Macaca mulatta: one gene and its partners. The protein of the gene in region 2 binds, or shares a complex with, the protein of the main gene of each other region. Links are inferred from orthologs where the notes say so. Each region holds a gene or a part of one and is shown on either strand. Other genes may lie near its edges. The genes, in order: ERC1, PPFIA1 and PHLDB2.

Region 1 (7,590 bases), on a different chromosome or scaffold from region 2:
AAAAAAAGATACTATAAACCTTCCCTTCCTTTATGACAACAAATTCTATATCAGAGTAGTTTACATCTAAACTCTTGCTGAGTTAATTTGTACTTTAAAATAAAATTCTAAGAATTTTAAACCACCTTAATGATCTTTACAACTTCATAAATTACAATACAAACTCCAAAAAAGGCATTATTTTTCAAATCAGTGTTATAAGCATCCCTTTAAAATGGACTTCTAAGCCAGGTGCAGTGGCTCACGCCTGTCACCCCATCACTTTGGGAGGCCAAGGTGGGTGGATCACCTGAGGCCAGGAGTTTGAGACCAGTCTGGCCAACATGGCAAAACCCCGTCTCCACTAAAAAATACAAAAATTAGCCAGGCGTGGTGGTACACACCTGTAATCCCAGCTACCTGGGAGGCTGTGGCATGAGAATTGCTTGAACCCGGGAGGTGAAGGCTGCAGTGAGTCGAGATTGTGCCACTGCACTCCAGCCTGGGCAAGAGTGAGACTCTGTCACAAAAATAAAAATAAAATGGTTTTCTAAATTGTGGAATATAACATTGAATTCAAGATGCAAGTATTTCTTCTGTCCACAGAGTCACTTATCATGGTATCAATATGAAAGGTATTTTCTGGATGAAGGTGTTTAATTTCATGGCTTCATTTTCTTCTCCCCTTTCTTACCCACTAAGTTCTAACTATACGTTAACCTATGCTTTAAAAATGCAGATCATCTATACACCTTGCTTTTAGAATGTGAAAAGGTCAAGAAGATTCAGAAGCAAAAGCTACAAACTTTAGTGAAATAACAATATTTGTATAAAATGTCACCTTTGGACAAGAGAAGCTGATGTAACAGTGAATAATCCTCCTTAAAATACTGAGTTAAAGGTTAAGCTCTCCATCCACAGGCCTTGTTCTACTGAAAAATACCTACCTTTAACATTATTAAAACCTCAGTACTCATACTCATACACTGGAGGCAGATTTTGTTCTTTCATATTTCATACATGTTATAGTAAAACATGCAAGATTGCAAAAACATGCAGATAATCATATTCCCATAGAAATCAACATTTTCACCACATAAGCTATTTAATGAGAAAGTAAACACTAAGACAAGTTTTTTCCTTATTCAATAAACAACAAAACATATTCAGTCCCTTAAAATGGTTTCAAAAATTATTAAAGGGGTAAACATACATACTTAGGAAAGCTCTGATTCAAAGTACCTTGAGTAAAAGAGAAATGTTCATGTAAATTTTGTTAAATGCTTTGTGGAAGCAACAGAGGTACTTTCAAGATTAAGTCCTCTACCAATTTCTTTTGTTTCAGGTTTCATCAGTTGTCAAAATTCAGTTACTAAGCATGGCCTTTATAAAAGACTCTATTGGCAGATACATGATTTAATGTGTTAGCAAAACTGTACCCTAAACTGGTGTGTCTAAAAGCCACAACATGGTGGAAATAAAAGCAACGAGAAGCAGTCCTGAATTAATTAACTCACTAGGAACAGAACAAAGCAAAAGCAGCAGAAACGCAAACACTTTCCAAAGTACGAGGAACCTTTTCTATTTTGTAGTCACCTCAATATAGTTCAGAGGAATCATTTAAAAAAAAAACAGGCCGGGCGCGGTGGCTCACGCCTGTAATCCCAGCACTCTGGGAGGCCGAGGCGGGCGGATCACGAGGTCAGGAGATCGAGACCATCCTGGCTAACACGGTGAAACCCCGTCTCTACTAAAAATACAAAAAACTAGCCGGGCGAGGTGGTGGCGCCTGTAGTCCCAGCTACTCGGGAGGCTGAGGCAGGAGAATGGCGTAGACCCGGGAGGCGGAGCTTGCAGTGAGCGGAGATCCGGCCACTGCACCCCAGCCTGGACGGCAGAGCGAGACTCCGTCACAAAAAAAAAAAAAAACAAACAAAAAAACAAACCTAGAGTTCCTGTTTCGGGAAGGGAGAGATGAGAAGGTTAAGCATATTCATTTATCTATAGGGTGATAAAAATATCATTCACACAAAAGCCAGAAAAAAACTATCAACTGAGACTTTATGGCAACACTGGCGAGGCCACTGCTGGCTTGGATGAGAGGCTCCGCGCTATTACAGGATGCTGAAGACAGTAGGAAGCATCAGGGAGAAAAGAAGACAGAAAAGTAGAGAAAATGGTTTTAAGAGTAGGATAATCAAGGGAAAGAAAATTAATGGTTAAAAACATTTTAAAAAGCTTCAACAACAAAAATCAGAGCATAGAAATAAGTATTTCACTCTACAAGGAAAAAAAAAAGAATTAAGCATTTTAAAAATTCTGATAACTCAAGGCTGAGCATAGTGGTCTTGCTCCCAGCAGTTTGGGAGGCCATGGCAGAAGGATCTCTTGAGGCAGGGGTTTGAGACCAGCCTAGGCAACATGGCAAGACCTCTCCATTTTAAAAAAACAAAAGGCCGGGCGTGGTGGCTCACGCCTGTAATCACAGCACTTTGGGAGGCCAAGGCGGGTGGATCATGAGGTCAGGAATTCAAGACCAGCCTGGTCAACAAGGTGAAACCCCGTCTCTACTAAAAATACAAAAATTAGCCAGGCACGGTGGCACACGCCTATAAACCCAGCTACTATGGAGGCTGAGGCAGGAGAATCACCTGAGTCCAGGAGGCAGAGGTTGCAGTGAGACGAGATGGCGCCACTGCACTCCAACCTGGGTGACAGAGTGAGACTCCGTCTCAAAATTAACTTAGCCAGGTGTTGTGGCATGGGTCTGTTGTCCCAGCTCTTCGGGAAGATGAGGCAGAAGATCACTTAAACCCAGAAGTTTGAAGTCACAGAAAACTATGATTATGCTACTGCACTCCAGCCTGGACGACAGAGCAAGACCCTGTCTCCTAAAAACAAAGAAAAAAAGACCAAAAAAAATCTGGTATCTCAAAAGTTGAGTTTCAATCCTTTCCTTAATAAATTCTGAGGACATTATCTCATACTGAAGACATGGAATGCCAATATTCAGATACAGGATATAAATTCTTAAGCTATAAATAGGTCAAAAATGACTTCAATTATCATTACCTCAAGACCAGTCATTTCCCACTCCAAACAAAACAGAGAAGAAATCTACTTTAAAAATGTCAATGATAGGCACAGGCTTTTGAATAAATGTAAACTAGAACACTAATAATACACTAGTAATAGTTTCCAAGAAGAAAATATGCCAAATAGTCCTTTATGTAAATCTACACATAAGCTGTAAACCAAAAAACAGAGCCTAATGTAGAAGGTGAAGATAACGAAATTCTAGGCCTCATAAGCTGCTATGAAAAATTAAAAGTATAACAAGTAAAAAAAACTTTCTGACAACATGTGCCCTGTCTTTTTTAGAAAAATGCTAGGAAATTAACATTCTCCAAAATGAGATAAAATCTGAAACAGGATATTTAACAATTGTTCTGAGTCTCAGATCTTACTACACAGGTTAAATTAGAGAATACGCCCTCACTTATTCTTCTTTTTTGTGTATGTGAGATGGAGTTTTGCTCTGTCGCCCAGGCTGGAGTGCAGCGGCGGGATCTCGGCTCAATGCAACCTCTGCCTCCTGGGTTCAAGCGATTCTCCTGCCTCAGCCTCCTGAATAGCCGGGATTACAGGCCTGCACCACCACGCCTGGCTAATCTTTTGTGTGTTTTTAGTAGAGACGGGGTTTCGCCATGTTGGTCAGGCTGGTCTCGAACTCCTGACCTCATGATCCGCCCGCCTCGGCCTCCCAAAGTGCAGGATTACAGGCGTGAGCCACCGTTTTCTCTTTTTTTACGAGATGGGGTCTCACTCTGTGGCACAGGCTGGTGTCCAACTCCTGACATCAAGTAATCCTCCCACCTCAACCTCCCAAGTAGCTGGAATTACAGGCACGAGTTACCGCACCCGGCAGAAGTCTGATTCTAATGGAAGAAAAATGTCAGGTAACTGAGATTTTTACACTGTCGTCTCATATTTCACCCACGAGGGAGCTGCATATTTTAATTTTTCTCTGAACTGTCAATTTTCAAAGACTTGGGGGATTATCTTGAATAAAATAAAGTAGGATAAGAATGCTAAGATAATTAATTCAGGTATACATGGTATTTTTAAAGTTTGGGGGATTATTACTCCATTGGTAAATTATTTCATATAAACATGCCAAGGCTATGCTCTTATTTAAAGCAAAGCAAAAAAAAAATGTGAAAAATTTTCTTTAACCTTTTTCAATTGTGATTCCATTTTCAGACACTCCTCCTTCTTCTGCTCCAAAGCGATCTCTAGTGTCTTAAGCCGTGAGTCCTTTTTCAGTCCTGAGGACGCCAGAGAAGAAGCATGCTCTTTCAGATCCAGAAGTGAAGCCTAAAAGAAGCAACACACATCTAGAATAAATAACTATAAACAAAATAGAGATTTAAAATTTTAAATTTATCGTGGTAGCTGTAATTTCCTTTCCATTACCAAATGCTGACATATTTCCATTTCAAGGAAATTCATCATGAAATATAAAACAATATTAACTCTAGCTTTCAACTCTTAACAAATAAGATGGATTCTCAAGAAATACCAATTGAACAGTGATTTAAAGAGTTCTGTCAATACATACCCATTCTACAAAATAAACCAAAGTAGATCAAGCTTTGTGAATGTAAGTAGTCAAACCTCAGTAGCTACATTAACTTAAACAAAATACATTTTTCAGCCAGATACTTGTAATCCCAGCATTTTGGGAGGCTGAGGCAGGGGGATCACTTGAGGCCAGGAGTTCAAGACCAGCCTGGGCAACATAGCAAGACCCTGTCTTCACAAAAAAAAAAATTTTACCTTAGCTGGGCATGGTAGTGCACACGTATAGTCCCAGCTACTTGGAAGACTGACATAGGAAGATCCCTTGGGCTCAGGAGTTCAAGACTGCAGTGAGCTATGATAACGCCATTGCACTCCAGCCTGGGCAACAGAGTGAGACGCTATCTCTTAAAAGAAAAAAATAAATAAATCACATTTTTCCCTATTAAAAGAAAAATTCTATTAGGAATTTAAACTTCCATAACAATTCCTAAAGATATCAGAAAGAAAATCCACAGAAAGATGCTACAGTTCATGCATTATCACCATCTGATTACACAGCATGAGGCATCTTTGCTCTTCAGGTCATACTAACAGGATTCTCCAAAAGCAAGATTCAAGTAGATTAAGTCACCCAATTTAATAGCTGTTGTGTTCTTTGATAGTTGGTATACATAAAATTTCCTTCTTTTGCATATTCCTTTTATCTGTCAACTTTCTTATCTTTAGCACACTAGTTCTCCAAATGTATCTGAGCTTCAGTTACTTTAGGTCTATAAAAATATTAGTAAGTAAAAAACCAACATAAAACATAGTAACACTTAGAAAATGAATGAACCAATCCACTACGTCTCTGCAAAGCTTTCTGAAATATTCCTTAAGGTATCCACAAAAAGCCTGCTAAAAGAATATTAAGCATTTTCCATCGAATACTTTTGTACATGCATTATGAAAACACCAACAGCATACAGACACGTGCAATGATTAAGCAAACAAACTAATTCCATTTTGGTGAGCTTAACCTCTTTCTCTGAAAGGTCGCCTTGCAATAGGCTGACTTTTTCCTTCAAGTCTTTAAGATCTTTTTTGTAGTTATCAATTTCCTCTTGCTTCTCGCGCTCATCTCTGTCCCTCTGCTCCTTTAAGCGTTCAATTGTCCGCTCCTGATGAGAGAATAAATCAAGATGTGAGGAAATTCCCTTTTGCACTTATATGACTGTAATTCTGCTATTAGCTGATAAAATTTCAAACTTCTATGTTCAAAAGACAATGGTAAGTTTTTAAAGAATCCACTTTTTTTTTTGAGATAAGAGTTTTGCTCTTGTTGCCCAGGCTGGAGTGCAATGGCATGATCTTGGCTCACCGCAACCTCCGCCTCCTGGGTTCAAGTGATTCTCCTGCTTCAGCCTCCCAAGTAGCGTGCCACCACACCTGGCTAATTTTGTATTTTTAGTAGAGACGGGGTTTCTCCATGTTGGCCAGGCTGGTCTCGAACTTGTGACCTCAGGTGATCCGCCCGCCTTGGCTTCCCAAAGTGCTGCAATTACAGACATGAGCCATAGTGCCCAGCCAGAACACACTTTCTAAATAATTCATCCTTCTTATTCATCTTGCCATAACAAGGACATAGCTTTATTCATTTCAATCCCAAGGTTTCTTTTCTTATAATCTCAACTGGTATTTGATACCACTAAAGTATTCTTTTGGAATATTTCCGTTTATTCAATTTCCAGGTAACTAAAAGCTTACATATACACCCTAAGGGCAATAACTATCAAACATTTCTTCTCGATATATTACTCACATGTCGCCTACAAGGCAATGGGAACAACTCACAACTCACACACCGAAAAGGGGGAATGGGAAAGATGTTGATATATTGAGTTTAAAATATAAAGGAAGGTAAAGAAAAGAGAAATCATCAGAACTTTCTGTCAACAGATACTCAAGAAGTTTGAAAATCAGAGCAATTTGGCCAGGTGCAGGGACTCATGCCTGTAATCCCAACACTTTGGGAGGCCGAGGTGGGTGGATTACTTGAGGTCAGGAGTTCAAAACCGGTCTGGCCAACATGGCAAAACCCCGTCTCTACAGAAAACACAGAAGATTAGTTGGGCATAGTGGCTCATGCTTGTAATCCCAGCTACCTGGAAGGCTGAGGCAGGACAATCGCTTGAAACTGGGGGGTGGAACTTGCAGTGAGACAAGATCACACCACTGCCCTCCAGCCTGCGCACAGACTGTGACTCTATCTTAAAAAAAAAAAATTTCCCCTTCACACTACATATGTCAGCAAGAGCACACAGCAGTTCTTTTCCCTTTTGCCCACAGGGATTTCTTTTGTATTCTACACCCAGTCTTAGATTAATGAGAACGCAGAAAACGCGTGTGGAGTTGGGGACAGTCACTCACTTTCTCTGCAAGGGCCTCCTCCAAAGTTGTCAAGGCAGTGTCAGTGTTGGTGGTGTCGGCCTGCAAGGATTTGACCCGCTCTTTCAAGCTGCTCATCTGCTTTTCCTTATCTCTAAGCTGCTCTTGAAGATTTTCAATCTAAATGCACATAAATATTTAAGGGAAAAGAGAGGACATTTATAAAAACACAGCGGCACAATCAAAATCATTTCAATTTGAAAACAGTTCAGGGTTGTCTGTGTGTGCGCGTTCTGTAGAAATCATTTAATCCTAAGAGTTTCAGAATTACATGCAAAACCTTAAATTTGTAGGCAAATTGAATTTGTAGGAATTTGTAGGCAAAACAAAAAAAAGGTACACACGTGTATGGACACACACACACACACACACGCACTCACACACATACACACAAATCCCTAACAAAATAAGAAAAGTAGCTAGCAGAAAAGATCCAGTATAGAGATGGCCACGTAGAGAGGAAAGCCATGAGGACTAGAATTACTTCTAATATGACATTGTAAATGCCAAGAGGGATTCCTTGACAAAGAATAAAGGGAGGACAGAGAATAGAGCAGCTAAACAGCGAGAAAGACAAATCAGCTATATAAAGAAAAGGCT
Region 2 (8,218 bases):
GGGTGGCCTGAACAAATCCCTAGCAGGGAAAAATGCTTTATCTAAATAGACACATGAAGAAATACTCAAAATCCTACATCTACCTATAAAATTAATTCTAAAAATACTACAGGAGCTGGTTTTGCCAAAGAATGTTTTCAAACATTTAAGGAAGGTAACACAAATTTCGAAGGAACTCTTCTAGGGAGTAGAAAAAGAAGGAATATATTCCACCTTGTTTTACGAAACCAGCATAACCTCAATACCAAATCCCAACAAGGGCACTGAAGGAAAGTAAAATTACAAGTCAATCTTTCTCGTGAATATAAATGCAATAATCCTAAACAAAATATTACCAAATACAATCCAGTAAAAGGAGAATACATCAAGATCAGGTTGGAATTATTCTACAATTGTAAATCTTTTTTAAAAGGGAGGTGCTCTTTCTCAGGAGTTCCTGAGGTTGTTTCCCCAGGCTACAAACAATAAGCAATTAAAAAAAAAAAAAAAAAGCAAGGCGCAGTGACGTGCATCTATAATTCCAACTACCTGAGAGGCTGAGTGGGAAGATCACTTTAGCCCAGGAGTTCAAGGCTACAGAGAGCTATGATGGCGCCACTGCACTCGGGGCTGGGTAATGGAGCAAGACCCCACCTCAAAAATAAACAAACAAATAAAAACAGTTAAATTCCCACATAACAGAAAAATCACATGACTGTCTCAAAAGATGCAGAAAATCCATGTTAAGAAATATAACATCTGCTCATGGTATTTAAAAAACTCTTGGCAAACTAAGAAGAGAAGAATTTTTACATCTGGATAAAGAACATCTACAGGGCCAGGTGTGGTGGCTCACAATGGAAATCCCAGCACTTTGGGAGACCAAGGAGAGAGGATTGCTGGAGACAATAGTCTGGGCAACCGAGTGAGAACCTTTTTCTTAAATTACCAGATCTCAAGACAGACTATATCTATGGTAATTTAGACATTGTGCTATTTATGCAAAGATGACAAAAAGATCAAAGGAGCAGAAGAGAGTCCAGAAACAGACCCACACACTTACAGTCACTGGACTGAGATGACATAGATGACACTGCATGTAGTACACTGGGGAAAGAATGGTCTTTTTAAGAAATTATGCAGGGTCAACTAGATATCCATTAAAAAAAAAAAAAAAGAGACTCTTGGCCCCATCACATACCATAAACAAAGTCAATTTCAGACAGAAGATTTAAAAATACAGTTTTCAGAAGACAATGTAGAGTATCTTCATGAACTTGACCTAGCAAATTTCTTAAGCAGGACACAAAGAGCATTAAACATTACTGAAAAGATTGATCAACTGGGCTACATTAAAAATTTAAAACTTCTGTGTATCAAAAGATACCACTGAGAAAGTGAAAAGGTAAACACGAGAGTCTAAAAACAATCTGTCATGCACATATGTACTCAGAATATAGAGAAAACTCCTTCAAATCAGTAAGAAACAAAATAGACAACCCAACCAACCGATGGGCAAAAGATAACCGTCTCACAAGACATCCAGATGGTCAGTGAACACAGGAAGAGATGCTTTACCTCTGCATGTTCCTGGCCATCAGGGAGCAGCAAATTCAGACCATACTGAGCCACCTACCAGCTAACAGCCACCAGAACAGCTAAAATTAAAAGACCCAACAAGGCCGGGTGCGGTGGCTCAAAACTGTAATCCCAGCACTTTGGGAGGCTGAGACGAGTGGATCACGAGGTCAGGAGATCGAAATCATCCTGGCTAACACGGTGAAACCCCATCTCTACTAAAAAATACGAAAAACTAGCCGGGCGAGGTGGCGGGCGCCTGTAGTCCCAGCTACTCGGGAGGCTGAGGCAGGAGAATGGCGTAAACCCAGAAGGCGGAGCTTGCAGTGAGCTGAGATTGCACCACTGCACTCCAGCCTGGGGGACAGAGCAAGACTCCGTCTCAAAAAAAAAAAAAAAATTGTAGTAATAAAATTCGACCTTCATAAACTTAGTATTTTATAAGATTAAAATGAGAAAAATCTTAATGATTCTCTAATCCAACAAAAAAGGAACATACAGCTCTAATGTCAAATCATTGTTGCTATAAAGGAAACCCACGTTTGGCTTATCAATCTTCCCAGAGAACTGACTACAGCCAAGAAATACATTAAGGCTAGTAATTATTCATTTACTAAGTTATCACTGCAGACCCATCATGTGAGTATAAATGTGTGTTTCTGCGGGTCTACCTGAATGCACCCCAAAGGCACTTAGGATGAGTAACATGGGGCCTAGACAGCTCTGAAACACCTAAGTAACCCACTTCTCTCCCACTATGCTCCGTGACACTCACCTGACACTTTTCTAGTTTTTACACTTTCTCCCTTTACCTACCATTAAGCAAATCCTCATTCAACTCCATGAGCAAAGTCTTTCAAACACTGGTCCAAATGTAATATACTCAGAGAAATAATTTCAGTTGTTCTAAGCTTTAAATTTTTTTTTTTTTTTTTTTGAGACAGTGGTGCAATCTTGGCTCCTCTGCAACCTCTGCCTCCCTGTCTCAAGTGATTCTTATGCCTCAGCCTCTGAGTAGCTGGGACTACAGGTGTGTGTTACCACGCTCCACTAATTTTTGTATTTTTGGTAGAGACAGGGTTTTGCCATGTTGGCCAGGCTGGTCTCAAACTCCTGACCTCAGGTGATCCGCCTGCCTTAGCCTCCCAAAGTGCTGGGATTACAGGCATGAGCCAACACACCCGGCCTAAGCTTTAAAATTCTCGTCTACCAAGGAAGAAGTTCCTAAGGAATCAATCTCCAGTCTTCTATCCCCTAAAACAAATGTGACTTACAAAACCTAGATGTTCTGATAAAGGTGGGCTATCAAAACAGTATTTTTTTTCTGTGAAATCCTATTTGTCTACTAAATTATATTAGGAAATTAGAAACACATGAGACACAATCCATGGGAAGCACAAGTTTAGCAAGAGAAGGTTGAAGACAACAGAACGGAGGCACCACATAGATTGGTTGCTTCAGAGCCCTTTTTCAGAAACTCTGGAGAACTTCCTGAACCTAGGCAGTTCCCAAAGATAGGAATGAAAATAATGAGGTATTTTCACATGACTTTAGAGTACAACAATTTGTTCTCCCTAAGAAGTTTAATCCCTAGGAACTTTGTATTTGACTTAGAAACACCAGAAACCATCATTTCACAAATGGTTATGGAAAATACTCATCTGAAACATTAACAAAAGATGACACCAATTAAAAAAAAAAAAAACATTTAGTGGAGAATAATCTACAGAGTCTCAAGTTAAAAGCACTCATACCTGTGGAAGTGCCGTGTTGAGCTGTCTCTGCAAGGAATCTCTTTCATGACCAACCTCATGTAACTTCCCCTGGGTTAAGGCCAGTGTTTCTTGAGTCTCCCTCAGTGTGTCAAGAAGGCGGTCCCTTTCTTCCAACATGGAGACCATCAACTGTTCAAAATGTGAATCTGCGTCTGGCTGCGAAGGGGAGCCGGAACCATGGCTTCCACCTCCTCCAGGGGGGCCTTCTGCTTCGCTGATGGTCGGCATCACCTCGCACATCATCTTGAAATGAAAGAGCCAGGCTACAGTCATCAAGTGCAGAATACAGGTTCCCACAAATATGCAACTTTACAGGTATCTGTAGCTAAAAAGAGGGGCAGCCTCATTATCCTCAGATCTGTTACGCTTTGTGTGTAAATAAGCTGGGAAAACATATACCGGGCAAATATTAAGTGCAGAAATACACAACATGAAGACATTAACACAGACAAAAATCCAGGGAAGGGGTCAAGATACCAGAGGACTACCCTCACAAAAAAGGGCAAACCCTGGGGTAGTCTGTTTGCAAAGCTGTACTTGTTTTTGTCGAAAACAAGTGTGCTTCTGTTACCTAATTTTTTTTTACTTCCCAGTGGGGGGTGGGGGGGGGAGAAGAAAGTCAAAACACATGTCACCCAATCATTTTTCAGGAAAAGCACAGAAGGAGCATACAGCCAGCAAAACTGACAAGTACAAAATCCATCAGGCATCTTGCAGGAATGTGTGCAGTCAGCTCCTGTGAAGAACTGACGGCTCCCTGAATTCTTGAGCTGGAGCTGGTGAGCACTAAAAGGAACTGGATTCGTTAAACGCTGGCAGAAGTGTTTTTTTTCAATGGCTGCAACGGTTGATCAGTCAACCTAACTTACGTAAGTTTACAACCGAAAAAAAAAAAACTCACAATGGAAATATAGCAGGTCGATATACAGCCGGAGGCGGCTAGGAAAGAGGGAAAAGTGAAAGGTGAGATGATGAGAGGCATTAAGTGTCTGGGATATAAAGACAGCGCGAGGGGATGGGGAAGTCGCTTCTGAGTCTTTCGGGCAGTATTCGGGGCGCGATGGACCCCTGAGAGAGGATGGCCCAGGCGGCGCACCTGATGGGGATGACCTCCAGCCTGCTCGAACCGTACTCCTTCCCCTCCTGTATCAGGTGCGGCGGGAGCCCCGGACCCCGGAGGTGAGGACCGTTGACAACGGAGCCCGCTCGGGCCGGGGCTTTCAGCGGCCGCAGTTCCCCGCCCCTCGCCCCAGCGCCCAGGTCACGGGGCGCAGGGCTCGGGGAGGGGCGGCGCGCAGTCCCCGGAGCCATCCCTCGGGGCGCTGGGGTCCCGCCAGAGCTCTCCCAGCGCGACCCGGCGCCGCGGCCTCGCCCCCACCCGCCCCGGAGCGCACCCTTCCTCGCGAACACATCCAACCGGCTGCGTGGCCGCCGCGGAGACCGGGACCAGCCGGTGACGCCTGGGCCCCGAGCCTGCCTCAGTGTCCCGCTCCCTTACCTTGCTCACCGGCGGGAGCGGGCGAGGAGGCTCCGCGGCGGCTCGCGGGCGGCTGCTCGCTCCGGGCGAGCTTGGGAGCCGACGAAGGCAGCCCGCGGCCGGCGTCCGCCTGCCCGCCCCACGCCGCGGCCCCGGGGCCCGCCGCCCCAGTCACTAAGGCCGGCCCGCGGCCGGACACTGGCGGAGCGGAGGAGGAGCGGGCCCGGCTGCGCGGCGCCGGCGTCGACGTGCCCGACGTCGAGCGCGTCGGCGCGAGCGTCAGCACCGCCCCGGGGGCGGGGCCCGAGGAGGACCGCGGCCCGAGTGCGCAAGCGCTGTCGCCTCAGGAGGGGGCGGGCGGCTGCTCCGGGGAACTGATTGGCTGAGCGAGACGGGAGCCACGCCCCCAGGCCCCGCCCGGGTCGGTGGGGGGTCTCCGGGATGAGCCACAGGTGGGCGCTCAGGTGCTCGCCGGGTCAGCGTCTTCCTCCGGGCATCCCTAGTCTCCTCCCACTGCTGCGGGGACGCCGGCGGCCTTTGCCGAGTATGTGCCGCGCCTCGGGTTCTGAGGCGGACGCGTCCCGCACGTCAGGTCCCTCCCGAGCTGGAGGCGCTGGATTCGCACCTTGTGAGGAAGAGCGAGCCGAGGCTTCAGCCACTGCCGCGGGCCCAGACCCCGCCCGCCGCGTCGCTCCCAGGGTCTCCCCGGGCCTGATCGGGGTTCAGCAGGACGCGGTTCCCGCCAGGACCCACTTACGGAGCGCAGCCTGCTGCACCTGGGGACGCTCCGGCGCAGCGTCCAGCGTGCAGGCTTTGCCGCTGTGGCTTTCACTCTGCAGCGTGGGCCCGGGCGATTCGGGAAGCCCGCCTGGGCTTCAGCGCCTCCGATGTAGGATGGGAAAATGATGCAGACCTACCTGCGAGGCTGCTTTAAGATATGAATCAGATGTGGAGTGACTAGTTGAGAACCTGACGGGCGGCCCTACAGAAGTCTTGGTCATTTCATTCTTTCCGCAAGTTTTGTTTTGTTTTGTTTTCCCAGACGTTGTTTCACTCTCGTCGCCCGGGCTGGAGTGCAATGGCGCCATCTCGGCTCACTGCAACCTCTGCCTCCGGGTTCAAGTGAGTCTCCTGCCTCAGCCTCCCGAGTAGCTGGGATTACAGGCGCACGCCACCTAGTCCAGCTAATTTTGTATTTTTAGTAGAGACGGGGTTTCTCCATATTGGTCAGGCTGGTCTTGAACTCCCGACCTCACGTGGTCTGCCCGCCTCGGCTTCCCAAAGTGCTGGGATTACAGGCGTGAGCCACTGCGCCCGGCCTCAGCAAGCATTTTTAAACACCTACTGTGGGCCAAGTCTTGTGCTAGATGTTGTATTTACGGAGATGAATAGAGACACCTCTAATTAATGAAAGAGGATGCTCTCCCCACTCCTCCCAGGGTTTGACTTGGCGCAAAAACTCTTCACAAACCAGAATGACAGGACACCATCGCCAGTGTCCACTGGCCACCGTTGTTGGTGTGAGGCAGCCAGGAGCCCCTCAGAACTGATAAGTCTGAGAAGAGACTGCACAGGGGAGGGAGAAATGAGCCCGTCCAAGGTGAATTCCTTGATTGTCCATTGTGAGTGCACTAAGAACAAGCACTGCCTCCGACTGACTTTCTCGCCTGCCAGGATCTGGTACACCTTCCATTAATTTATTAGTTCATTCAATAAATATTTATTGACTGATTACACATAAATATGAATTTGTACTTTTTGCCCCTAGTTTCTTGCTATTTTAAAAGTGTAAAAATGGCCAGGTGAGGCCGGGTGTGGTGGCTCACGCCTGTAATCCCAGCACTTTGGGAGACCCAGGTGGGGAGATCACTTGAGGTCAGGAGTTCAAAACCAGCCTGGCCAACATGGTGAAACCCCATCCCTACTAAAAATACAAAAATTAGTCAGGTGTGGTGGCGGGCATCTGTAATCCCAGCTACTCGGGAGGCTGAGGTGAAAGAATAGCTTGAACCTGGGAGGTGGAGGTTGCAATGAGCCGAGATCATGCCACTGCACTCCAGCCTGGGAGACAGAGCGAGACTCTGTCTCAAAAAAAAAAAAAAAATTGGCCAGGTGCAGTGGCTCACGTCTGTAATCCCAGCACACTGGGAGTCCAACGTGGGAGGATTGCTTGAGCCTGGGCAATATATCGAGACCTGCGTCTATACAAAAAATTAAAAATTAGTCCAGCGAGGTGGGCCACGCCTGTAGTCCCAGCTACTTGGGGGGCTGAGGTGGGAGGATTGCTTGAGTCTGAGAGGTCGAGGCTGCACTGAGCTGTGATTGTGCCACTGCACTCCAGCCTGGGTGCCAAAGCGAGACTCTGTCTCAAAAATAAAAAATAAAATTGTGAAGATGATCACTTAGATGAGGTGTTCTGCAAGTACCCTGTACCTTTCCACATGCCAGCAATTCTGCACCACTCCCAAGTTCCCCTGAACCACTGTCCAAAACCAGCAAATTTCCAGCTCTCCTTAGGGGTACCTGCTTAATGCAGCCAGGTATGTTTGCACCATGCTCATAAAGTGTCTGTTTTCTAAGAAATCGGCTCAAGATCAAAATTTAGTTCAGCAGGGTAGAATGTTCATTCATTTCATGGACATTTGTGGAGCATGTATGAGCCAAGCATGGCTTAGGTTTTGGGAACACAGAGCTAAGACATCACTTCTAGTATGAGTTCACAGTCTGGAGGAGAGAAGAAAATCAGACTATTGCAATGTCTGTCCCATAAACAGTGTATATGACTTGGTGCTGTGGAATCACAGGGAAGGGAGGAACCCTCTCTCCAGCTGGCATCATGGGGGTTTCATAGAGGAGGCAATATCTGAGCTGGGTCTTGAATGATGTGGGATTTTTCCAGTGGAGAAGGGAGACACCCAGTTGGTATAGCTCCAGGAAAATGAAAATTCCGAATTTCATTCATTTTATGCCTGCCTGCCTGCCTGCCTGCCTGCCTTCCTTCCTTCCTTCCTTCCTTCCTTCCTTCCTTCCTTCCTTCCTTCCTTCCTCTCTTCCTCTCTCTCCCTCCCCTCCCCTCCCTTCCCCTTGCCCTTCCTTCCTTCTTTTTCTCTTTTTTTTTTTTGAGACAGGATCTCATTTAGTTACCTAGGCTGAGGTATAGTGGTTCGAACACAGTTTACTGCAGCCTCTACTTCCCAGGCCCAATCAATCCTCTCACCTCAGCTCCCCGACAAGTAGCTGGGACTACCGGCACAGACCACCATGCCTGGCTAACTTTTTTGTATTTTTGGTAGAAAAGAGGTTTCACCATGTTACCCAGGATGGTCTCAAACTCCGGAGCTCAAGCAATCCACCCACCTCGCCCTCCCAAAGTGCTGGAATTACAGGCATGAGCCACCACTCATGGCCC
Region 3 (7,590 bases), on a different chromosome or scaffold from region 2:
TTACTGAATCTGTGCTACAGTTTTTGTTTCTAATCCTTGGCCTGGGATTCTGGTTTGCATACAACTGATAGTTATCTCCACTGGTGGCAACCATGACTAGGAATCTGGTTTCACGATCTGACCACGTGGAGAGTTGTCAGGTAGAACTGGAATCCAGCCTTGGTCAGGTGAGAGATGACAGATTATTTGTTTGTTGTTGTTGTTTATAATTTGTTTGTTTTTCTATTTGTGTACTCAGATCAGGAATATATTTAGTGCCTGATGGAAAAGCAGTCTTTTGAGATCTGTGTTCCAGTGAGATTTTGTGTTCCAGTGTTCACTTTTGATCTGTAATTGGAGCTGTAGGACTTATGCCATAAACCTTTCATCTGTCTCTCTACCTGGGGGCGGGGGGAGGGGGAAATACTCTGTGTAGGTGAAATATTTTTCTATCTCCCAAGGATAATAATAAATTAAATAGAGGAGGCCTACTGTTCTGATTGGTTTACAGAGACTAACAAGTAGTTAGAGAAATCTAACATTCCCAGAATTTCAAGAATTTATTTTCTTGAAGTAAATTTTGTGAAATTCTAATGCTTTAAAGGTGCTTTTTTAAATAATGGGGTCTCACTCTGCCACCCGGGCTGGAGTTCAGTGGCATGAACATGGCTGGCTCACTGCAGCCTCAATCTCCTGAGCTTAATCAATACTCCCACCTCAGCCTCCCAAGTAGCTGGGACTACAGGTGTGCACCACCACACCCAGCTAATTTTTGTATTTTTTGTAGAGACAGGGTTTTGCCATGTTGCCTGGGCTGGTCTCAAATTCCTGGGCTCAAGTGATCCTCCCACCTTGGCCTCCCAAAGTACTGGGATTACAAGTATAAGCCACCTCACCCAGTCTAACTGTGCTCTCTTAAAAAAAAAAAAAAAGACCTGATTTGATAATTTGGTTTTAAAAACACCTTTAGGGACACATGTTCTCAGAATCTCCTGGGGCTGTGTCATGGGCAAATATAACTTTTAAGAAAGAAAATACATTTTAAAAACAACAACAACAAAACAGCTATACATCTTTTCCTTGTTTCATCAATGTATAGTATAATACAAGTATAATCTCATTTTTTAAAAAAAACTTGAATGTTTTATGATGAAGAGATTAGTTTACCTGAACTTTTAAACTGCCTTTTATTAGTTTGCCAAAAACATAAGCTAAGATTACGTCCATAATATTAAGAAAAATATAAACTTTTTGCTCACCTAAACTGAATTATAACTGTGACCAACCTTTTCACATTTTCCGTAATTATGTCCTGTGATGTGTTAGCTTGAACATAATTTCTAATACCTTTAAGTATTTTTGATGTGTGTCTGGTTGTTCCAGAATGTGGAAGAGCACAATGAAGAGCAGAAGTTGATGGAAACAGAAAATTGCAGATCTGCAAAAGGGGAGTTAGATTTAACTTGGTTTATAATGCTTGCAAATAAAAAGGCTATAAAGAAGTAACAAAATTTTAAGAATTTGGCAAAGTTTGCATGATTTTGATGCAATTATTCATAAAGTATGTTTAATGTAATGCATTAAAAATGTAATATATGACAAGCACCCTGTTAATGTAAAACTAAAATGCAGTTATTGCTATTGAAATGACAGACTGAACTTGGAGAAATCAGTCGATGCTTGTAAAAGGCAGTAAAAGGTTATTCCACATAATCTGCCCAAAGAACAGAGACTAGTATCTTACAAGAGTTTTCCTGAGCTTTGCGCTGATTGGAACGTATTCTTGCATATTTAAAATAACAAAAAGAGTTTTCTTCATTTTTGAACGATTTGAGGCTTCTTGCTCATCATAAAATAATCCATTGCCATTTGATTAAACAGCCAAACCACAAACATTCACTACTCTCAGGTATACACCATTCTTTATGACTCAAGTGACAAAACCTCTCATTTTGCCTTCAAGATCAGGCAGACCCTAAATACAGAAGAAAAAAAAAATTCCAAGATATCTATTTCTGAACCACTTTTACGTTTTCCCAGAGAACCTCTGGGCAATCACAAAGAATTGTTTTTTAATTTTACAAAAAGAAAGAGGCTAGAAATAATTAGGTTTGCTCACTGCGCCCCTAAAAATTTCTCAAATCAAATGAGGAAGTCGCCTGCCCTTAAGATAATTTTATACAGGTAAAATATGATTTTTAATATTATAGGTAATGTTCAAAGATTGGGTACTTTACAGAAAGGCCCTGAATATATGCCAGTGCCCTCACTCTCTGTAATATGTTCTTAAAAAACTGATTTAAAGGATTTTAACTCTCCTTCATGCTGATATTGTTTGTTAAATTAACCACAGCCACTTAACTCTTACATTCACCAAGTATTCTCTACTTTCCCCGTGAGCTTGCCTACAAAATACAATATCTCGTTAACAAAGAAAAGACAGTTTTAGAACCTTGTGGACAGAACTTTACCAGGTATTCTTAACTCTTAATATTTCAAAGAATTGCATAGAGAAAATTAGACAGTACTAGGCACCCAAATCAGATTTTCAGGACTTTTTAGTCCAGAAATAGATGACTGCATGAAACCAAATTAAGAGCCCAAGAAACAGAGGAATAAGAATTAATTACATAGAAGTGATTGAATTGTAATAAAAATTGAATTTCTAAAAGTGGATATGTGTTTTGGAATATTACTAGTATTATTTTTAATGTTCTATTTTTTAGGGGGAAAATGCTTTGGCATTCATACTGCTCTATCTCTAATCCTCTATTCAGCTAACTCTGATTTTGCAAACTAAATGAAATATTATTTTAATGGTAAATTGTTCTCACTGATCTCTGAGAATTCAGGAAGTAATCTGAGTCACTTTACTTTTTAATGGCAATATCATAATTTGCATAGGCTTGATAAGAATCTGTCATCCCTTTTACCACAATGTAGTCAAACAAATAGACTATGCAACCAAGATCAAGCCTAGAGTGTCAAATTTAAAAATAAACCTCATTTCAACAGATACGATAAGTCCACTATTAAAGAAAAAATATATATAACTTCATATTTACAGCAATATCCACAAAGCTCTCCCAAGAAGTCAAAACTGTTTATGACTTAACGGGCCCAACCTTACAGGCAGTACAGAAGGTCACTTCCTGGATTGCCAAGAATCATACCAGATTGGGAAAATCTGGAGGAAAGAGAAATTCACCAACACTTAGAGATGCTGAACATGAAAGCTAGCAGAGATGAATTTCTTGAGTTTGGTTGCCTATCCTTGGAATAGAAGAGCAAATAGAAGCATTTAAGGAAGACGTCCAGAGTAATGGAAGCCATTAAAAATGCTCTCCCAGATTCCTTGTTATCGGATAGAAGTTAATATTCTGGCTTTATAAATAACAGTTGCTTTGCATGGTATAGCATTATATTTGCTGTCCATAAACAAGACTTTTGTATGCTAATTAAAACATCTTCTGAATTTCTGTCAATGAAGCAAGCCCAAACACAATGCCATTTTGTGACCAAGAACAGTCTGCAGAGATTATTTATGATAATAAAGAGGAATGTCATACTGAGTACTGTATAACTGACCCACCTAAAGACTATCTAAATTCTCTAAGGTTATGCACATTTGTTTTCATTCACCATTGTCAGTTAGGATATTTGAAAACTCTGTAAGAACAGACATCAACTTATCAAAAACTATAAGTGATGCAAATGATTACTGCTCTAAAATGTCAAACATACTTCCTACTGGATGGATGCAAATGGTTTCCGTCCATTATAATCCAAAGGTTACAACAGGTGTGTCCAATCCTGGTACACACTGGAGAAGAAGAACTGTCTTGGGCCACACATAAAATACACTAACGATAGCTGATGAACTTAGAAAAAAAAAAAAAAAGGCAAAAAAAATCTCATCATGTTTTAAGAAAGTTTGAGTTTGTATGGGATGACATTCAAAGCCATTGTGGGCCATGTGCGGCCCACAGGCCACAGGTTGGACAAGGCTGGGTTACAATTTTATTGTCCTATAGGGTATTAACCAGTTTTGTGATTCAAAAATCATATTCTAGAATATTTTAGCAACTAAAATACTTCTGATAATGCTATAGTGTTGTTGTAAATCAGCTTCACTATCCTGCAGCTTCTCTCGTTAAGGAAATCACGAATCAAAAATGAATCAAAGTAATCTCTGACAGGTATTCATTCTAAAAGAGAAAAACCTGTGCTTAAAAGAGAATGGGAAAAAGCAGTTGTCTGTTCTCATTCATTGGTGAGCCTCTCAAGGGATGTTTCCTCCTGTCTTCTTATTTTCAATAAGTATAAATTCATTTTAAATGGAAAAAGACAACTCAATAGATCTTGTATGTGTAGTTTGGAGTCACTGTACGTGCTAAGAATCAGAGCTAAAGATAGTAAGGTTGTGTATGAACAGTGTGGAGAAAAGCTGAGCACCACTGAGGCAACTCCAACTTTCTAGACAACTTGCTATAAAGACAAATTCACTACCTAATTCTTGGTGAGTCATGATTTCACTGACTACTTCTCTCATAACCATACACATGCAAATTTAATGATATAAATAATACAAGTCAGCATTTCCTCATAGTCTTAAAGAGAAGTTTGTTAAGACTCAGAAATTTCATAAAATTCGCAGCTCCTCTGTTATGTTTTTAAAGAATTTATACTTGTGAGAAGTCCGCAGAGCAACTAAATTAACATTAATTCCTGGAGGCCTTCAAGATAGCCAAACATGCCTATTAATAGTGATATGGGAAGAAGAAGCATATAGCAGAAGAGAAGAGAAAGACAGCAGCTGTGGCTGGTGAACATGAATATCCTATATTCCCACATATCCTGGAGTCCATCTCCAAGGCTGCCCTGTAGATGCTGGTTAATGAAACAGTGAGGTCAATCACTGTTAGATGATTACCAATCGCTCCATCTCCTGCTCCCTCAGTCTTTCTTCCCTCTGCCGCCGGTGATAATCCATCAGGTCATCACGTCCTGAAATGGAGCTAATGCTGCTTTTCCGTTCCCGAAGGACAGGCTGGGGGGTTCCTGAGGTCTGTCTGAGGCTTTCCAAATCAGCCTCATCAAATTCCACAGATCCACAAGAGAAGTTCCTCCTGGTCGCAAACACTCTGTCTGACTCTCCAGCAAGAAGTGAATGACTCGGGTTTGTCCCCACGTATGAAGCCCGATCAAAGTCATCAGAGGCGCAGGAAGAGGTGGAGGCCAGAAGCATCTTCCGAGCCACTCGAGGACTGGCAGGGACACTGAGGGTAGAACTTACATAAGGATTGCCTTCAGAAGCAGAGGTTTTATAGGGTAAAGCCCCTGAGCTCAAAGAAGAAAAATTAAGGTAATTGTCATTGTCTATTATGCTATGAGGTAGATCCTTTTCCCCAAGTTTTGTTCGTTTGGAATTGCCCAGAGAGTTTCTTGGAGGCAAGCTGAGAGGTGTCAGCTGGTTCTCTGTGGCTTTGTACAACCTGGGAAGTGATCGGCTGTAGGCTCCCATGTGACTCAGGCTGCTGCTGGAGTACTTCCTAGTTCTCAAATTGATGTTTTCAGATGCAAGCTCCTTGTGTCTAGTTAACTTGGGTTGAAGCGTCAGGCTGTCCTGAATGCTCATTTTCCTGGCTTGCTTTGGGCTTGAAGGCATGCTTGCAGCTCCCGATCTGCTGATAGGAGGGGGGCCAGCATCACTCAGGGAACTTCCATTCCACATGGCCAGGAGCGAGCCAGATGCCTTCCGACCTTCCAGCCCTCCGAGAAAGTAGACATTGTCGTGCGATTTATTCCTTGAGCTATACTTGGAATACGGAGGCTTCTCTGAGAGCCTCAAGGCCCTTTCACTGTCCCGGCCAGTATAATGATCAAAGTCTGCTCTTCCAAGTGGATATCCGCTGAGGGAGGATGTAGTGCTGAGTAAAGGAGTTGGAGGTTTCATAGCAATATTTTTGTCAGTTCCATCATAAGAGAACTGCTTGCTTCCCTGGATTTTGGCTAAGGAGGGGCTGCTTTTCACACTGGTTCCCAAAGGAGAAGGGCTTCTCTTTGCAGGCACAGGTTGTGAGAGGGTTAAATAGGAGCCAGAATAGTCTCCATTGGCTTTAAATCTCAGACTGGAAGAGTATTTCTTTGGGCTGAGGCTCTCCATCATGTTTTGGAAATTGTTCTCAACAGAATGCACCACAGCGTCTTCCTCTAAGCTACCATTTTCTAAATCTAGCTCCTTTTGTATGTAGCTATGCTCTTCCATAATCTTGCTGGAATCTGTAAAGAAATGAAGAGAAAATTTTGCGTTAAAAAAGATTTTAAAAGAACAATCGCTTGTTAGGCCTACATCTGAACAAATAATCTTGCGGTCTGACCTAATGCAAATAAACACAAACTCAGTTTTACTAATAAACCTGTTAAAACCATACAGCAAATTAGAGGATAATGAAGATCACTGATCTGAGATATCTTATGTACAAAAGAAAAATAACTTAAAAGGACAGCAATGACATTTGAGTGAAACAAATCCCTAACCAAGTAAAGGCGCAGGATTAGGTTGGGACATAAAAAAGACAATTTCTCCTTAATGTTCTGGCCCTTCAAGGAACACCGGCTTCCCTAGTGACTAGCTAATGCCCAAAGGCATAATGCAATGGACTTTACTATAGATGTCTCTGCTAGAATCATTAACTGCTCAGAAATAAAGTCCTGAGGAAACAAAATTCACGTTTGGGCAGAAAAAGAAAAGTTTACGTTAGACACTGATCAATAACGTGAGAGTTAGAAGATGGTTCTTTAAACGAGGGCTCTGGGATTTACCTTCTCAACAAAAAGACTTAAAGCTCCTTTAGTCATCAGAGGCAGGTAATAACAAAGAAAAGAGTATTCCACCAATTACTGACACGTGATCAGGATGGTATATTTAAAAACCTGAAACTGTTATATCCTTCAAATTTTCTAGTACCCCAAATGCACTAAGCTCATCCTATCAGGACCTACTCACTCTTCCAGGGAATAGATCAGGATTCTATGTTCCACGATTAAAATTTTTAAGAAAATATGTTTTCATCCCTGGTTTGAACAATGTTAACTTAAAGAACTAAAGTTTTAGCCTATGAAAATATCTTTTAATTACAAACTATTACTGCAAATGGGAAGGCTTATAATTCTACCTGTTAAAATTTTTTTTCTTAGATTATCAGTAAAGTGAAAATACAATTTAAACATTGTCATTGAACTCATGAACCACTAAAACTGTCCTCCAACCCTTAGGCACATCAGACACTAATTATGACATCTCTGGTCTATATATAAACAGTATCACATATGGTTAGTAATGGTTTCATAATGTGGTTGTCTTTGTAACTAGGCCACAGGTTTAAGGAAGAGGTTATATCTAGTATTTTTATCTTCCACCCCTCTAGCTCTCGTTGCCCCAGAGGTGAGCAATTCAATGAATGTAAGCTTTCCATTTTAATCAAAGCCTTCCTCACTCCCTCTCAGCCATGGATTAAGGACCTTCACCCTGTTGCTCAGCTTCACACAGTTTCTGAGCAAATTCAGACAGCCTAGTAAAGAGCTCCTTCTTTATCCACAAGACCACGA

The links.
Region 1: PPFIA1 (region 2) and ERC1 share a complex: the UniProt entries of both Homo sapiens proteins name them as parts of the cortical microtubule stabilization complex. The link is inferred for Macaca mulatta from reciprocal best matches to the Homo sapiens genes PPFIA1 and ERC1.
Region 3: PPFIA1 (region 2) and PHLDB2 share a complex: the UniProt entries of both Homo sapiens proteins name them as parts of the cortical microtubule stabilization complex. The link is inferred for Macaca mulatta from reciprocal best matches to the Homo sapiens genes PPFIA1 and PHLDB2.

The regions. Positions count from the first base shown.
Region 1 is NC_133416.1:1,971,487-1,979,076, reverse strand, and holds part of ERC1 (ELKS/Rab6-interacting/CAST family member 1), read right to left. Parts: intron 7,111-7,590; coding exon 6,973-7,110; intron 5,724-6,972; coding exon 5,583-5,723; intron 4,357-5,582; coding exon 4,216-4,356; intron 1-4,215. UniProt on the Homo sapiens protein: Regulatory subunit of the IKK complex. Probably recruits IkappaBalpha/NFKBIA to the complex. May be involved in the organization of the cytomatrix at the nerve terminals active zone (CAZ) which regulates neurotransmitter release.
Region 2 is NC_133419.1:4,392,327-4,400,544, forward strand, and holds the start of PPFIA1 (liprin-alpha-1), read right to left. Parts: upstream 5,025-8,218; 5' UTR 4,840-5,024; exon of another isoform or gene 4,831-4,839; intron 3,576-4,830; coding exon 3,312-3,575; intron 2,579-3,311; exon of another isoform or gene 1,901-2,578; intron 1-1,900. UniProt on the Homo sapiens protein: May regulate the disassembly of focal adhesions. May localize receptor-like tyrosine phosphatases type 2A at specific sites on the plasma membrane, possibly regulating their interaction with the extracellular environment and their association with substrates.
Region 3 is NC_133407.1:171,760,247-171,767,836, forward strand, and holds part of PHLDB2 (pleckstrin homology-like domain family B member 2), read right to left. Parts: intron 6,262-7,590; coding exon 4,913-6,261; intron 1-4,912. UniProt on the Homo sapiens protein: Seems to be involved in the assembly of the postsynaptic apparatus. May play a role in acetyl-choline receptor (AChR) aggregation in the postsynaptic membrane.